3 linked regions of the Drosophila melanogaster genome follow. The protein of the gene in region 2 interacts with the protein of the main gene of each other region in a pairwise test. Each region holds a gene or a part of one and is shown on either strand. Other genes may lie near its edges. The genes, in order: CG3704, CG11322 and Uqcc1.

Region 1 (5,626 bases), on a different chromosome or scaffold from region 2:
AGCAGAAGCTCAAGTGAGAGCCGTCCCGGCCGAGCAGAGCAACAAAATCTTCCGCACACTTCCAATTCAAAACGAATGAGAGATAGAGAGAGCAGCACCATGGACAGGAGCCCAGGTTGGATTGGTGGACACTTGCCACTGACCACTGAACACTGGCTACTTGGCTCCCTGTTTGATGTAATCTCGTTAGCTCAAAACTACCACTGCAACATTTCTGCTGCATTTACTTCCTCGACACACAAAAGAACGAACTATTTCTTAGCCTAAATGTTTTGTTTCATTTAAGTTTACGTCATTTTTAAAACAAATTTTTTTTATTTTTATACATACAAAAAAAAAAAATGAAAAAAGAAACAAATACAACAAAAGAGAAAAGCAAAGCCCACACTGCGTGTTTTCAATTGCTCCTCCTCCTTCTCCTGCAACTTCCCATTGTCCTGGTGATTACCCCAAGGTGATCCATATGGTGATCCGAAGCCTGAATAACTTTTCTCTCTTGCAGGACATCGAGGAACAGGGCGCCGAGGACAACGCCACCCTGCTGACCACCACCAACCTGTCGGACGACGACTAATTGGAGCTCGTTCAGATGATTCCCTGTTCGCCCTCGGTTCCAGCTTTTGATTTCCGGCCTGCTTGAGCGATCCAAAGTCGCTGGCTGGGCCATCGCCCACTTCGCCCATCCGTTTGAGACACACACGATTACCCAGACACCTGGACCTGCTGAGATGGCTCCACGCCAGCTGATCCAGTATGCTAATCCCGATCCCGATCCCCAAATTTCCCCTCCGCTTCTGGCCATGAGGCAGGCGGAAGGCGGAGCAAAGAGTAATCCAAGCACGAAGAAGACTGTTTCTGAAACTACTGTTTAGCTATCCCCAAATTTTTCCAATGCTTGTCTTCACCCCGCACTGTCCCCCCCCTCTTACCAATCACCCATCCTTACAAAACTGTGTGCGTGTGTGTGCTGATAGTGTGTGTGTATGTGTGTGTGTGTGATCCCCAAGATACCCGTTACTTATAAATATGCATAAATGCAAGAGCTAGCTTGATAACTTGACGTGCGAGGGATGTGGTGGTGTCCACGCTGGCCACTGAGCCCCTCCGTGCACCACCAATAGCTGGGCTCTCGGCACGAAGATGTGACAATGTTCGATCTCATCCGAAGTACTTTCCAAACTAACCGAGCTTTTTAAACACAATCCACCTTTTGTGTCTGCTGTTCCTGCTGCTCTGAAACCAATTGGTGGACGCATCGCGGAAAAGGGAGCACCGAGGCACAAAAGCACCGAGGCACAGCCCTCGGAAAACGCACTCAAATCAAATGAAACGTCCAGAGATATGAATATTTTTTTGCAAGCGACTACACCTAATTTGCAGCACAGGCAGGCGGGGATGGGGATGGGGATGCAAGTCCGTCTTGGCCCAAAACGCTTGGCGATTCGATTCGATTCGATTCAGATGGGACAGTTGGGCAGTGAGCAGTAGGGCGGTGAGAAACCGTAGCGGGGGACTACTGTTCGTCTATATAAACTGTGTATAACTGTGAGGCATTGACAAGTATTTGAGATGATCTGTATTTTTGTAAGCGTAATATTTAAAGCGGCAGCCAATAACGAGACAACCAAATCCAGAGAAGCAACTATAAAGCGTAAGATATCGGGCGCAGCAGCCAACACACGCGACACACAATTTATTTGCTCAACGCAGTACACACCACACATGATACATACAGCATAAATGTAAATATATATATATTTATCTGCATACATATATATATATACAGAGTAAGTTACGCAAAGTATGAGGCTTGCATTTACATTTACGAGCGGGATATATCCTCCATATGTATATGTTATCACTAATTTGCAAAGCTAAACTAAGTCCATATATACAAACCAAATATCGGAGGTGCAAGTGACGAACACACACTATATTGAATGTTTTTGCTTGTTAAAGTAAATAATAAAAATGAAAACTCGAAATCACGAAATCCATAGCCATCGAGGATCACAATCCGCCCATTTACGGCTGAGCCTGTTCCTGTTCCTGCTGCAGTTTGTCCCGCTTGCTCTGCTGGGCAGTCAGGTGGTTCTGCACGAAGCTGTGGAAGTTTTGTTCTTCGGCGGTGCCCTTCGCGTCCTCCTCCATCTCCTCCTCGTCTTCGATTTCCGCCGACTCGGGCACCAGACTAGGTGCCATTAGGAAAATGCTGTTTCCAGTGTGCGGCGGTGGGTCCTGAAATAGTTAAGACCCTGCAGTGGGTGCACAAATAGCCGAGGAACTGTTCCTACCTGAAGCGACAATCCCAGGGGAACGGCATGGCCGTCCTCTTCCACATGATCCACTGGCTTTGGACCCGTCGCACTCTCCGCCAGTCGCTCTTGGCGCTTCTTTTCGTAAACAGGCTTGTAGTCCGTCTCGTACTCGTCCACGCTTTCGAGAATCTTCGTCAGTAGCTGGGTGAAGCCTACGCCTGTCTTGGCCGAGACGCCGCACGTTCTTAGATTCTCGTAGAAGGTGTCCAGGGTGAGCGACATGGTGCGCGTGAGGTTGCTCACGAAGCTGTGCTCCTCCTCCTGGGCCTCCTGGAAGGCCTCGAAGTCTGTCATCCAATCCATCACAAATCCGCAGTCCTTTAGGTCGATCTGTTTGAAGCGGAAAAGAAGTTTTCTATACATCTGGATATCTGGGTTGCCGGGAAAGTCGTTACCTTGTTCAGCGCCACAAGGAAGGGCAAACGGGTCTTGTACAGGATGGAGCAGGCGTACAGCATGTTGGACATGAAGGTGGTAGGGCAAGCACTGCGCTCCACATCCATTACATAGACCACAATGGTGGGAAACATGGTGGCCAGTCCCTCGGTTATGATGCTCCCGGAAGCCGACCAGTTAAACACCTCGATCTGTCCGGGCGTGTCGATCACACACCACTTGTGTCCGCGCTCGCCAGCGCGACGCACTAGCTCCGCAAACTGTGCCATTTTGGTGGTGAACATATTGAGCGCGGTCACAATGCCACCGTTGGGACCCAGTTGGTACTGCTTCATCACCTCCCGGTAGTTGACCGTGTCCCGTATGTCCACGTGCGCCGCGTACGGTACTTCCCTGCACGCCGGATCCAGGTTGACCACGTACGGATTGAACTTCTCCTGGGCGTGCTGGATGAGCTTCTGTGTGAACGTGGTCTTCCCGCTGCCGGCCATTCCCAGCACCAGTATGCACACGGGCGACTCCCGGATTCCCTCGCTCAGCGACAGCGCCTCCAGCTTGATGCTCTCCACTCCCTCTGCCATTTCTCTCACGGCTTCACTAAGAATCAAAACAAAAACAGGAGGCGCAAAAACAAGCGTGCAGAGGCAGTGTGACCGTCCTATGGAAAGTGTGCTCTTTGCGCCGCCTGAATTCGCTTCAGATACCAACAAACATCAGCTGTTGTTGCTGCTTTTTATCCTGCGTGGAAACATGTCGGCCATTACATAGTTAACACACTCCCTTAATCGCAGCAGCCTTCGTGGAATCACACATCTTCAGTTTTGCCAGTTCAGTTTTTGCTTGCCCGCCAAAAAAACAAATCAAAAAAAAATACCGAAGAGTTTAGAACATACCGTATATATCGAAAGCCATAATAAGCTTTAAACTAGTTGTACAGTAATAAAAATGCCACCACCAGAAGCCGGCAATTGAAGCGCGTTTATTTGCCGTGCATTAGTTTTATTATTTGGCATTGTTTTACATAATAAAAGTTGTGAAGCAATGGAGACCCGACTGGAAGTGCTCTTGCGGGAGCCGAATCCATTGTTCACCCGTTGGCTGGAGCGCTGGCTGCGCGAAGCGGAGCGCCGAGAACAGAAGTCCCAGTTTAGCCTGCGCCAGGCGTTGGAGTCCCTAAAAAGCTACCCTCTGCCATTGGCCAGCGGACGAGACTGTTCCATTCTGCGCGGCTTTGGGGGCACCCTCTGCCAGCTAATCGACGAGGAACTTCGCCATCACAGAGGCCTCCAATTGCTGCCACAGGAGGCCGTGGTTCAGGAGCGCTACGAGCAGCAGGTCCAGGCGGTAGTACGCAAGGTTCAGGAGAAGCAGCTGGAACACCAGAAACGCCAGAATAAATGCGACAGGCCCAGGAAGCTAACCAAAAAAGATCTGGCGGAGCTGGCAGCCCTTGAAGAGCGGGAGCGCGTCGTGCGAATGAAACCAGGTCAATTCCAGTTACTCCTTTTGGTGGATACTCAGGAAACCAGTGGCAAAAACAAGAGAGTTCTGGACCAGACGAGGAGCTACTTGGAGTCCTTGGGAGCCCGTCATGAAGTGCGTCGCCTGACAATCGGCGATTTCCTTTGGGTGGCCCAGGATCAAGAGGGCAATGAACTGGTTTTACCCTACATTGTGGAGCGCAAGAGGATGGACGACCTGGCATCGAGTATTCGGGATGGTCGCTTCCACGAACAGAAGCACAGGCTGCAGCACTGCGGCCTGCAGCACATCATCTACCTGGTCGAGGACTATGGCGATAACGAGCAGCTGGGCCTTCCACTGGACTCCTTGCAGCAGGCTCTGACTAATGCCAAAGTTCAAACTGGTGTCCGAGTGGTGCGCACGGCGAATCATTACCGATCCATGAGCTATTTGGCCGGAATGAGTCGCACCCTTGGCCAGATATTCGCCGGCAAGAAGTTGCACAGCGTGGATCGCGGCGCCATCGACCAATCCACCTGCCTGCTCACGCATTCCGACCTGGGGTTGCTCAAGTTTCGGGCCCTATATGAGGATTCCGCAAAGAATGCCCAGCTCACAGTGCGCGAGGTTTTCGTGCAACAGTTGCTACAGCTGCATTCCCTTTCCCTCGAACGCGCCATGGCTATTGTGGAAAGATACCCCACTCCACGCTGGCTGCTGGACGCATACGCGGAGTGTGCAGACCAAAAGCAGGCCAGGCTACTCCTCGCCAGCATCCCGTGTGGACCCCTGGAACGTCCACTGGGCGACAAGATCAGCCAGTGCCTACACGAATTCTACAGCACGCACTTTCGTTAGGATTAGCAATTGATTTTATGGGACATATCTAAGGTTATATACACGAGTTTATACATAAGTGAGAGAGAGAATACGTTGGACATTGAATAGTGTGATCTAGTCTAAGCCAAAAAATGTACAAGTCAGCCGCCCTTAGATGTTGCGGAAGTGCCGGATGGCCAGGTCCACCGGCAGGTCGAAGTCAAATCGAGAAAGAGCATCGATGGAGCGCAGTGAGTCGCGGAATCCGGTGCGGGCCACGTAGCTGTCTGCTGAGTAGTACGTGTCCACCAGTTCATGGCAGCTGAGGATCAGGTTCAGCCACTCCACCAGCAAATGGGAACTGTTTGAAGGAAGAGAAAAGCATTTCGAATGAAAGAAGTGTGATAAAAGCCAAGGTAAAGGTCTATCCCCGCGTCCCTGTTAGCCTTATGCTTAAATTAATTCGGCAGACTGCAAAGTCAAAAGCTACCTGCACCTAGCTAAATATATTAATATTTACATATTTATATTTACATGTTAAAGCAAAAAATCGATTAAGCAATTCATTGATAAAAAAGTTTAAGACAGTAGAGAATTGACATTACCGCAGAATTGCTGATAATTGCAGT
Region 2 (5,893 bases):
GCTCATAATCTCCATGCGAGATTGGCAAAACAATGCGGCTTCTGGAGAAGCCACCTACAACTAATGGTAAATATTTGTTATTCGAATTTAAAAATATTTATTGCTGTTTATATCGAGCTGGTTGTTTGGCTAATTACTCTTTGTTGTTCGCGAAGGTCACTCAGATGATTTGCTTCGACATTGAATGTCACGGTTTCCACGAAACAGAAGCCGGTGGAAAACAATCCGGTCGCGTCCAGCGATTGTTTGTCCAGTTCGCACTGTTTGCTGTGGACGTGGACAGGATGTGACGCCCCTGCCATTCCGTAATTTGGTCTGTGATAAACATGCGCTAAGGTTAATTCAACAAAGGTGAGGTTACGCCGTGTTCTGGGTGGGCGGACATTCACATTGTTTGCACTACGCGCTCCACGTAATGCCGTTTAATGGTTCCATTCGGGCAGCCACGAATCAGAGGCCACACGGATCCGATCCGATCCGATTCGATTCGATTTGATCCCATCGATTGGCCAAGTGATTGATTAATGCCTTCGGTTAACCTGTAATTAACTCAAGCACGCGGGGTCAGTGTCATTTCACCTTGACTTTGCCGGCTAAAATAGCCGAGTTGAAGACATTTTTTAACGAGCCGCATGCCAGCACTTAAATGTTTTAATGGCCGAGAGCAGAATGTGCTAAAATGCCGGCTAGACGAAGAATGTGAAAGTTTTTTAAGACACCTGCATATAAAACATTTCAAAAAATTTCAAAATTTTGAGTAATAGGATTCTCGTTTGCATATACGCTTATCTTATCTTATATTAGGAATATCCTTCCATTTTACCTTATAATATTATTATGAAAACATAAAGATTTTAGATTTTTATTGAAATTATTTAGTCACGCTTGAAAGCCTTTCCTTTATTTTGAAAATAAATATTTAACGAAATAATAAATTTTGCTGGATTCCCAAGTGTATTTGCGATGCTTATAGTTTTCGATAGCTGTCCACGTGTTTGACAAACTTAACTTAACTTAGCAAACCGATGCTCATAAATAATTTTAAAAAAAGTCCATGTGATCTGCATATTTTCACGCCACGCGTACCGAACTCGAAAACTGAAAATCAAAAACTTAAAACCGCGTATGTGAGTGTTGCAGTTCGGGTTTGAGTTCAAAGCCAGAAGCAAAACTTTTAGGACGAGACGATCGTTTATGGATCAATAAATATACAATTTATCCCATTTAATTAGTTGTTATTGGTGTAAAACTGTCCGAATATCAAAACATGTTGTGCCGCGCGCATAAATTCATTTCAATCGCTACGAAAATAGGTTTTTACGATGCCACCACCATCGTCCCATCGCCTTCCCTGTTCTCCACCGAGTAACTTGGCGTATCTGAATCTGAATTTGAATTTGTATCTGAATATCCCCCACTTACTGTATTGCTTTTTTTCGCTCATCTGGTTGTTGTGCTTGTGCCTTTGCTTTTCGTCTCGGGACTTAATTTATGGCTCGCATTTGCCTTTTTGGCAATATCACAAGCGGCCAAGGAGATGAATATAATAATAAGTCTCTGTGGATATACGACTTTCCAGATACTCACAGCATACTCATCAGAATAGCTCAAAAGTATGCAGTCATTTAATAGTTGTGTATTTTATTTAACTGGTAACAGAAAACAAGAGAAACAAAGAAACAATAATTTAACAAGTTAACAAAACTATGGGATTTGAATTAGTATTCTAATGGGATTTTGTGGTTAAGTCACTCCTATCCTATACAAAATATATACTTAAAATTCTATGCCAGCAGCAAAGTCGCTGCATTCTAATCCATTGTGGAGTTCAGTCTCATGAACTCCTCGTTGAGCAACGCCATATTCGTGGAGTGCGTGTTGGCTCCCTGCTCGCCCAGCTGCAAGTACCTGTCCCAAATAAAGCACTTGAACGGTGTCATCGTCGGATCTGACCGGGTCCAATCGTACATCTCTGACTTCCAAACGTTCTTCACGCTCACCTCGAACTGGCAGTAGTAGCAACGTAGGTTCTGCATGCTCAAGTCGGCCACGCCGTAGGAGCATCGGGTGCACATAGTGCAGGTGTACTTGAAGCTATCTATGCAGTTGTCCTCGATGGTGGGTGCCTCCGGCAGGGCCATCTTCGCCTGGTAGGCCCACCTGCGGCAATTGTCGCCGTGACCCAACTCCCGATTGAACACAAATGCCGCCACGTGGCACATCTCGTGCAGCAGGCAGCGGATTAGCTCCGCCGTAGTCTTTATACTCCGCAGAAGTAGAATCTTGGCTCTGCGCTTACCATGGGCATCGACGGTCAGCTGGCATGTGCATCGCGTGTGCATTGCGTGCTTCCAAACAATGGGCACCTGAAGGCCACAGTGGAAGATCGCGTGGTTGAAGATGTTGAACAGCACTTTGGCCAGTGCCACCTTGCAGATTTTGAAATTGTTTTGCCTGTAGGTGAGCGCCAGTGGATGGCACATATTGAGCGAAATCGAAGGGCTGAGCGAACGAACGAATCCGTAGAACTTTGGATGCCGCTCCAGGCATGGCACACTGCTTTTGTGACGTCGGCAGTTGGCGGCCAACTGCTCTTCGTTGGGTAAATCGATAAGATCAATGGGCTCCTTATGCAAGTCCGGGGTGCACTGATCAAAGGAGAATGCAATGGACCAGAGCTCAAAGTCATTTTTGCTTTTAGCCTGGCTCTCCTCAGGGGTCGGTTCATCGATATTCGACAAATTAAGCTTTGACCAAGTGGATGTCATCATTGTTTTCGGACGAATTGGTTGCTCGGCTGATGGAGTAAATGGCTCTGCGGACGCATGGGATGAATTGACGACACAATTGATATTCTCAATATCCTCCGGCTTCATATCGTAAACCACCGCAGGATTGTAGAGCTTGCGGCGTGATGGTATCAGACCCAAAAATTTGTGCATCTTCGTTTTAAGTTGCACATCGTCTTCCAGCTTGACGTTGGGCTGTGGCTCGTTCCTAACGATAATGATTTTATCGCCCAACTCGAGATAGACCAGCGGCGGCCTTTTGCGACCCGTCCACTCGGGCTGCTGATACTCCTCGTCGTCGGCATCATTGGAGTCCTCCTCGCCATCGCCCTCCGACTGAGAGGATGAGTCGGAAAACTGTTGGATGGACATCTCGTCTAGATTTCGGCGGCACTTATTTTTAACACACCCATGGCCTTTGGTCACCGGCAAGTGCCGTTTCACTGGCAACTTCTGTATTTCCATGTCGGTATCCATGGAACTACGACTGCTGTCGTTCATATCATCGAAGAAATCGGAGAGGTATCCTTGATGAATTTCTGGTGCAGCTCCCAAAGTCGGAGGTGTTTGGAGCACGGATTACTTGAAATTAGTTTGATTGCCTGGACTGATGGCTAAGTCATAGGCTACCTGTGCGCCTTTGGTCTGCAGTCCTTGGTTGGGTTGACCACGCTGTCGTCCGGATTTGTATTTGATTGTGCGGACATCTCAAATGCGAAATCGATTCGAAAGTCCTGGAACCGCCCACAGCAAACAACACTTTCCAAACTAACCATCTGCACATTGTTAGGCACAGGCTGAAAAGCTTAAAATAAATTCTAGAAACGATTGGATTGGATTTTCACATATGCCGCCGTTTATTGGATGCACTCTATTACACGTGCGGATATTCGGTCTGTTGTTTTCCATCTCTTAGTAACTAAACAAAATGGGAAAGGTTTCTGGATGGATAAACGATGAGTGGGTGGGTGTACAATGAAGGTGTATACATGCCATGTCTAATGTCTAACGAACTGTCTAGCACTGAAGTTTGATTCGTGAGTGTGGGTGGGGTGGTGGGTGTATAAAAATGTCTATAAAAGTGCCGCCATAAATCAAAGATATTGGTGAAGAATTGCAATAGTCGTCTGCTTCCAAAACATCACTTGTTCAGATTCTGCTCATGCCGATTTCAGTGGTATATGCTTTTTGATTACCTAAAAGTAAGATCGAGATTGAGAGATTGGAACATTTATAAACATTATCGATTCGACCGCCCAAACTGTTTACAATTAAATAATAATAAAACGAATATCAATTAAGAAGCGTGTGAAATACGTCAGACGGCATGCAAATTTAGTTAGCGGCTGAACGATTTTGTTTTCATTTTATTTGGATTTTTCGGTATCGATCCATCGCCAGGAGCGGCCGCTGAATCATTCGGCAAAAACAAATCGCCCCCGGAACGCATGGAACTCGATTTCCGCGATTAAGGCCAATGAAATAAAAGGAAATCAATTAAGCCATCAACTGATGATAGCCAACACCTACCTCGGAGCACATGTTCTTGTAGATCTCATCGGTGTCCCAGGGTCCTCTCTCCGGCAGAGCGATGCCTCGCCTTCGCAGCTCCTGGACGCAGTCCGTCAGATCAAAGATGGGCAGTGGATCGATGCCAGCCTTGGCAACCTTGCCAGCCAAATACTCTACGTAGTGGGTGCTTAAATGATATAGAAGTATATTGGTTGAAAAATATGATTTTTCGGGGATTTCCCGATATTAAACTTACCGACACATGCCAGCGTGCTTGTCAGGAACTTCCGTGTTGCACACTGTGTCGACTAGTCCTTGCGGCGTCTCCTTTTGCAGCGGGATCGGGCAGCGGGCCTGGGCACGAGCCTTGGACGAACTGCTGGACTCGTCCTTGATCTGCATGGGTTCCGTGTCGAATTTGACGTTTTGCTCCTTGAGCAGGAACTGCAACTGAAGGGGGATTTTATCCCTCAGGTAGAACAGGCAGTTGCGCGGATGATGGGCATGGAGACCGAGCTTGGCACAGTATGTGGACACAGTGCACTTGGCACCCATCATGAAGGGTCGGGCACATCCGTAGCAGAACTCGAATTTGCACTGAGTACAGGTAAAATGCATGCATCCGCCTCTGTATAGGTTGAACATTGAACTTGTAAAAGATACAACATACTGATATTTCTGTATCTGAACATACCTGGCCAGCGAGTATCGGAACTTGCACTTGGGACAGTCGATGCCGTTTTGGGCCAAATGCTCCTGGACACCCTGGGCCTGCAGCTCGGGATCGTTTTCGCGCTTCCATTCCAGATAAGCTTCGCAGCTACTGCCCTCGTGCTGGCGCTCCCAGGGCTTTCGGCACTGGGCACAGGTAACGGATCCACAGTCCGGACAAATCAATCGCTTCTGCTTGGGCCGAGCGAAGAATCCGGACGAGCACTGGATGCACCACTTGAAGTTGGGATCCTGCAGCAGCGAGCGATCGCGCAACTTGCGCTGGAACAGTTCGTGCACATCGTTGTCCAGGATGCTCTTCAGGAAGATGTCCAGGTTGGAGAAGTACTCGAGGTGCTCATCCTCATGCTGAGCCTCGTTGCTCAACTCGGGCAGCTTGCAAAACGGGCAACTGCAATCGTTTATACTGCGATCGGTTATCTGCGAAAGGAAGTTTAAGTGATGGAGCAATTGTCAGACTTTTCATTATCCTTTATGACCACTTAAGCCACTCACCTGTACTGTAAAGTAGCTCTTGGCACACTGCTTGCAGCACTTGTGCAGACACTTTAGCATGGACACCATCTGATTCATGGGATAGCTGTTCATGCAGAGCTCGCACTCCTGCTGGAGCATGGCAATGGCCTGGTCCAGATCGGAGCACTCCCTGGCCGCCCACAGAGCCACGTCTTCCGAGAACTTCATGCTCACCAAGGTGGCGGCTATCTGGGCCTCTGCGATATTGGTCACCAGCTCCTGATCGACGTACTTGCGGGCAAGGATCTAAAATGAGAAAGCAAACGTTCCAAGATGATTATAGTACTTGCTTAGCTAAAAACTTGGCTTGTACACACCGCTGGATCCTCGATTACCGGCTCTTG
Region 3 (5,314 bases), on a different chromosome or scaffold from region 2:
ATACTGGGTGTGGGCACCTGATCGCCCTTGATGGTGATCTCATTGCTGGTGAGGAAGGTCTCTGTTTCACCGACAGTCCTGGCCAGCACCGAATCGCACGGCTTGTAAAAGTTCTTGCGGAATGGCGTAAGATTCACCTCAGACCAAACGATCTTGGGCAAGTGAGCGCCATGATTGGAAGAGCGCTGGCCCCCGTTCTGACCACCGAATCCATCCTGGTTGCGTGGTCCGCCGGGTCCCATGCTAGGACCACCACCGTTCATGCGTCGCTGTCCACCGTTGGCGGGTCCATGACCATTGAAACCTGGGTATGGGGCCGAGCGATTGCGCTGGAACATGCCCGCTCCGCCGGGTCCGCCACCGGGAGCACCACCGCCCATGCGATTGGGCACCATACCGCCGGCTAGGCCACCAGCTCCTCCGCCGCCACCGCCTCCGAAGGCGTTCATCTGTCCGTTGTACCTGCGACGAGCGTTTTGTGCCATAAAATTAGAATTTTGAGCCCTTTAATGCGTTGCCAAAATGTTGAAATTTACACGAAGCGACCTTTTTTTATGTAATTTTCATTTTTTACTGCCATTTTGAATTTATTGATTTTCGACACTCGGCCCCTGGCCGCATGCTAAACCGAAATTTGGGCTTAAAAAATGTGTGCCTGTGTTTCAATACTCACATGTTCATTGCTGGTGTGATGTAAGTGGAAATATAGCTGGCCAAAGTATAGTTTTTTCGGTCACTTTTACAATTTTTCACTCCACAATTTTTTCAGCTTCTACGTCGTCAATAGAGCTGTGGAAAAAATCGGTGTTAATATCGATTGGTTCGATAGGTTAGGTTTTCTGGAAACATCGATTGAATTTTCTAGAAACGATCACAACGAATAGGGAAAAATGTCAAAATATTTGTTAGTAGGAAACTTTTAATATATAAATAATTATTGTGAACGTTTCTAATAATAACAAATTAAATAAAAATAATAACTGAAAAGAATATGGAACACTATTAAGAGCACTTTAGAGCACTATGGTTGCTAGTTTGTAGTTACTTCGTTGTCTAACCAGTATTTTTTTAATGCGGCACCGGTAATTAACAATAAGAACTATTAATTTTTTAAGCAAAACAAAGACGTCTGATATTGTTTGTCTGGAACCTATCGGGTAAAGCAACTTCGATAATAATGGTCAGCAAGAAAAATGTGACCAGCCTATAGAACGACCCAAAAACCAAAGTGTGGACATAAATTGGAATATTACAGTGATCGCTCAATGTAGTTAACCTGTAAATTTCTATCTGTAAAGTAATAACTAATAAACAAGGTTCTAATAATGCAGTTAAAATATAATTTATTATTATGTAATTTCCCTTCATTTGTTAAGTATCTTAAGCCCGCAATTATGACATACAATACGTGCCAAATGGTTTTCGCTTAATCGTAGCTCTGCTGTACTTCATAAGGTAAATAAACATGGCTCAAGCAAGGGATTCTTAATTATCAAGTTCAAGCTAGTTTAATTCAATTTGGTAGCCATGCGCACCAGTTACAAGAAAAACAGACCTTTCGACTTCAAGCTAATTGATCTGGTGGAACCCAATCCTGTGCTCTATAAGAGATCTGGACTCTCGAACTACGATGCCATGAAGGCGAAAACCGATATCTGGGCTCGCATAGCCGAGATGATGGGCTGTGATGGTAAGTCAGCTAATAAAAGAATAAGATATATATATTTAAAGTTATAATCCTCTTAGTGGACTTCTGCCTGATGCGCTGGAACAATCTGCACTATCAGTTTCGCAAGGAGTTTCGCCGCGCGGACACCAGTGGATCCACCTGGCCGTACCTGGAACGCCTGCGATTTTTGGCCGAGATCCAGCCGCCCTCCAAAGTGAAAACCAAACCCAAAACAAACAAACAGGAGGCGACCATCCAGACGGAAACTCCTGTGCAATTTTTGTGGGACACTTTTGAGGATGGGGATGTTCCACAGCAGTCGAGTACGTTCATAATCGAGGAGGTCATCGAGGAGCCCAGTGAACAGATCATCCAAGAGGAAATCATCTACGAGGAACAAGAGCCCGCTGAAATAATCTCGCCCAGAAGCAGCTTTCTCCAGATGGACCAAATACTGGCCCAACTAAAGGAACCGCAGCGGAGAAGGGCAGAACGAAGGATTACAGCATTTCTGCTCAAGTGCCAGCTGCGTGCCTTGAGTAATCAGTCCGTGGAGGACCTTAGCATCTAGTTTCCAGTTCACATACTCTCAAACTTTATTTTTAAAAAACAGAATATAACTAAGATTAAACCTTGCACTTGTCCAATTCCAACCATGCCACTTTCGGCTTGACAATGAACTGATCGCGCGGCAAACTGTCCAGCATGCTGGCCTGCTGGCGGACGTACTTCACCAGTCGCTCGATCTGCGCGTAATCATCACAGTTCATCTCGAAGAAGCGGCGCCACAAGGCGCAGGCCAAAACCCGATCGTCGGACATGATGCCCTCGTCGTAGGCGATTAGGGCCGCTTGGAACTGCTCGGATAAGGTCTCGATTTGCTGACGGGTGCGTGAAGGATTGTGAGCCTGTTGGGAAACACATATGAAGAGCATAAAGATTATATATATAAAGGTGAACTAAAGTAAAACCTACTCCCAATTTCTTGGCGCGTGTGTTAACATCTCCCCACATCGCCTCCACAATGCAGTTGCGCAGGAAGCGTCCATCCTCGCCCGTTTCGGAGCCCTCGGCCATGGAGCGCATCAGGAGTAGCCAAACATGCAGTTCGGTGACCAAGAACCAGGAGTTAAAGGTATTGGGCAGATTGAAGTCGCGGAAAAAGGTCACATAGTTGATCTTGTCGGCGACGCTTTCGTACAGCAGATGACTGGTTACCTTGAGGCGCTGAAATGGGATCACTTCGATGAATATTAATCAAATGGGCAAAGTAATCCGAGTCCTACCGCCTTTGTGTTCGGTGTGAAGCCCACTTTGTTGAGCACTCTCTTCAGAATACCGCCTTCTGCGGCTTCCGCTGTGCCGGGTTTCGTTTTATTGGTATTATCCACAACGCCGGTGGATGAACACAAGCGGCATGGCTGCTCCAGCAGTCCCAGTATCGCTGGCCTGTGCTTATACGTATGTTGTGTTGCCTATAATATGTTTAATTTAAAAATTTTATATCCGTTTATATAAGAGTTGATGGCGGTGCATTCGGATGACCGTGTTTTGACTAAATAAAGTACAACCCCTGCTTTAAACATACCCATGCGGTTCTCGCTAGGCCGCCGGCCAGTCTTGCAACTGCACGAGTGCACTGCATTCTTAAATGTATCCTAAATTTACTAAAACAAAATCGTTTAAAAAATCCAATTGCACGCGACAACAGACTAAAACAGCTGATCGTAACGGGGCTGCCAACTTGGGTATAACGACATGTTAACAGTGACTTGCTAACATATGATTAACAGTAACAGATACAAATCTTTGTAAAGAAAGAAAAATGTTTTTTTTTTTGCATGTGAAAAGTAATAACTATTACTTTATTTTTTATATACTTTAAACCTTTGCAGTCTTAATTCATAAAATCAAGAAGAGCTTACATTCGGAAGTGGTGTGACCGCATGAAGTTATTATCCGTTCATAACAGTGCAAAACGGTCTTACTATCAACTTCCAGTTGGAAATGTAAATAAATAAATAAATAGAAAATTTAGAGCAAAATAAAAGAAAGTATGATACGTTTGGGGAACCAAATGTGCCGGCAAGTGGCCTTTAATATACAGACTGTATTCCGAAACCCGGGCACCGCGAACAATCCGAGATTAATCACCAGAAAGATGACACAACAGCGACCGCCGGTGAATTGGACAACCAGTATTCCCAATCAGGCGGCGAAGGACAAGGAGAAGATAGCTCCTTTGGGATGGTTCCTCCTGGTGGGTAGACACCAACTCCTCTACCTATACACACAACTAATCCTTGTTGTCCATTAACCAATCCCCAGCTCATACCGGCCACCACTTTTGGCTTGGGCTGCTGGCAAGTGAAGCGCAAGATTTGGAAGGAGCAGTTGATCAAGGATCTCAACAAGCAGCTGAGCACGGCGCCTGTGGCTCTACCAGACGAGTAGGTTTGCCCACATATTCTCCACTATATACCCACCCACTATAGTGTATTCCCTCCTGTAGTCTCACTGACTTGGCCCAAATGGAGTACCGCCTGGTCAAGATCCGTGGACGTTTCCTTCACGACAAGGAGATGCGCCTGGGTCCGAGATCGCTGATACGGCCCGATGGCGTGGAAACCCAAGGAGGACTCTTCTCGCAGCGCGACTCGGGCAATGGCTATCTAATAGTAACCCCTTTTCAGCTGGCAGATAGAGAGTAAGTTGTGCTCAAGGAAATCCCATAGAATCATCTTAATATCGTTTCGCCCCCAGCGACATAGTGCTCGTCAATCGGGGCTGGGTGTCCCGCAAGCAAGTGGAGCCGGAAACCAGGCCGCTGGGCCAACAACAGGCGGAAGTGGAGCTCACCGCCGTCGTGCGCAAAGGAGAGGCGCGTCCGCAGTTCACACCCGACCACAAGGGCAATGTCTATCTCTATCGCGACTTGGCGCGCATGTGCGCCGCCACAGGAGCAGCTCCTGTGTTCCTGGACGCCGTCTACGATCCGCAAACGGCTGCACATGCTCCAATCGGTGGACAGACACGCGTTACCCTGCGCAACGATCATCTGTCGTACCTGGTGACCTGGTTCAGTCTATCGGCGGCCACCTCCTTTTTGTGGTACCGCCAAATAGTCAAGAGGATACCCTTCTGAAAAAGGGAACCCAAATCAAACGCACTGTTGTTATTTTTATTATAAAAATTTACATGCTCTCGTGTAAATGCTGGTTTTTATTGGCCCGCCGCAGGAGGGGATTATTGTCCTGCTGGGACTTAATATTGCAACTACCGATCCTCGAGTGGCGGATCGACAGGGGAATAGGAATAGGAATATGAATACAAATACGGTTCGAGGGTTTCCCTTGCGGGTGTGCCTAGTTGAATACTTTAACTATTTAGAAACACACTCGTTAGTTTGGGTCGATATGGGGAAAGCTACATAATATTATATTGTCTGATCAAAAATAGTTACTACGTTTTATAACTTTGTGGTTAATCAATCATTGCCTTATGTTGTTCAAATAAGTAATTCGCTTTCTAGTTATATACAGAAATGTTTTAAAAGCTTATATCCTTTAGAAACTAATATACAAAATGCAAGAATTCAACTTTACTTTTCACTTAAAACTGACAGAGTCCTCTGATGATTTGAAA

What was found.
Region 1: the proteins of CG11322 (region 2) and CG3704 interact in a two-hybrid assay, tested with the Drosophila melanogaster proteins (one large-scale study listed by BioGRID).
Region 3: the proteins of CG11322 (region 2) and Uqcc1 interact in a two-hybrid assay, tested with the Drosophila melanogaster proteins (one large-scale study listed by BioGRID).

What each region holds. Positions count from the first base shown.
Region 1 is NC_004354.4:937,439-943,064, forward strand, and holds CG3704 (uncharacterized protein), read right to left. Parts: upstream 3,368-5,626; 5' UTR 3,296-3,367; coding exon 2,714-3,295; intron 2,649-2,713; coding exon 2,295-2,648; intron 2,239-2,294; coding exon 2,026-2,238; 3' UTR 1,732-2,025; downstream 1-1,731. Other genes in the region: CG32815 (uncharacterized protein), read left to right, coding at 503-574; TRAM, read left to right, coding at 1-17; mus81, read left to right, coding at 3,756-5,036; CG3703 (uncharacterized protein), read right to left, coding at 5,169-5,358.
Region 2 is NT_033779.5:6,756,241-6,762,133, forward strand, and holds CG11322 (uncharacterized protein), read right to left. Parts: upstream 3,389-5,893; 5' UTR 3,255-3,388; coding exon 1,812-3,254; 3' UTR 1,624-1,811; downstream 1-1,623. Other genes in the region: LUBEL (linear ubiquitin E3 ligase), read right to left, coding at 3,950-3,985, 4,320-4,488, 4,558-4,929, 4,996-5,453, 5,529-5,795, 5,867-5,893.
Region 3 is NT_037436.4:6,954,708-6,960,021, forward strand, and holds Uqcc1 (Ubiquinol-cytochrome c reductase complex assembly factor 1), read right to left. Parts: upstream 3,402-5,314; 5' UTR 3,315-3,401; coding exon 3,258-3,314; intron 3,145-3,257; coding exon 2,956-3,144; intron 2,897-2,955; coding exon 2,645-2,896; exon of another isoform or gene 2,578-2,644; coding exon 2,296-2,577; 3' UTR 2,241-2,295; downstream 1-2,240. Other genes in the region: CG10077 (uncharacterized protein), read right to left, coding at 1-462, 674-681; CG9948 (uncharacterized protein), read left to right, coding at 1,528-1,690, 1,747-2,240; Surf1 (surfeit 1), read left to right, coding at 3,726-3,929, 3,998-4,119, 4,182-4,376, 4,433-4,814. UniProt on the Drosophila melanogaster protein: Required for the assembly of the ubiquinol-cytochrome c reductase complex (mitochondrial respiratory chain complex III or cytochrome b-c1 complex). May be involved in cytochrome b translation and/or stability.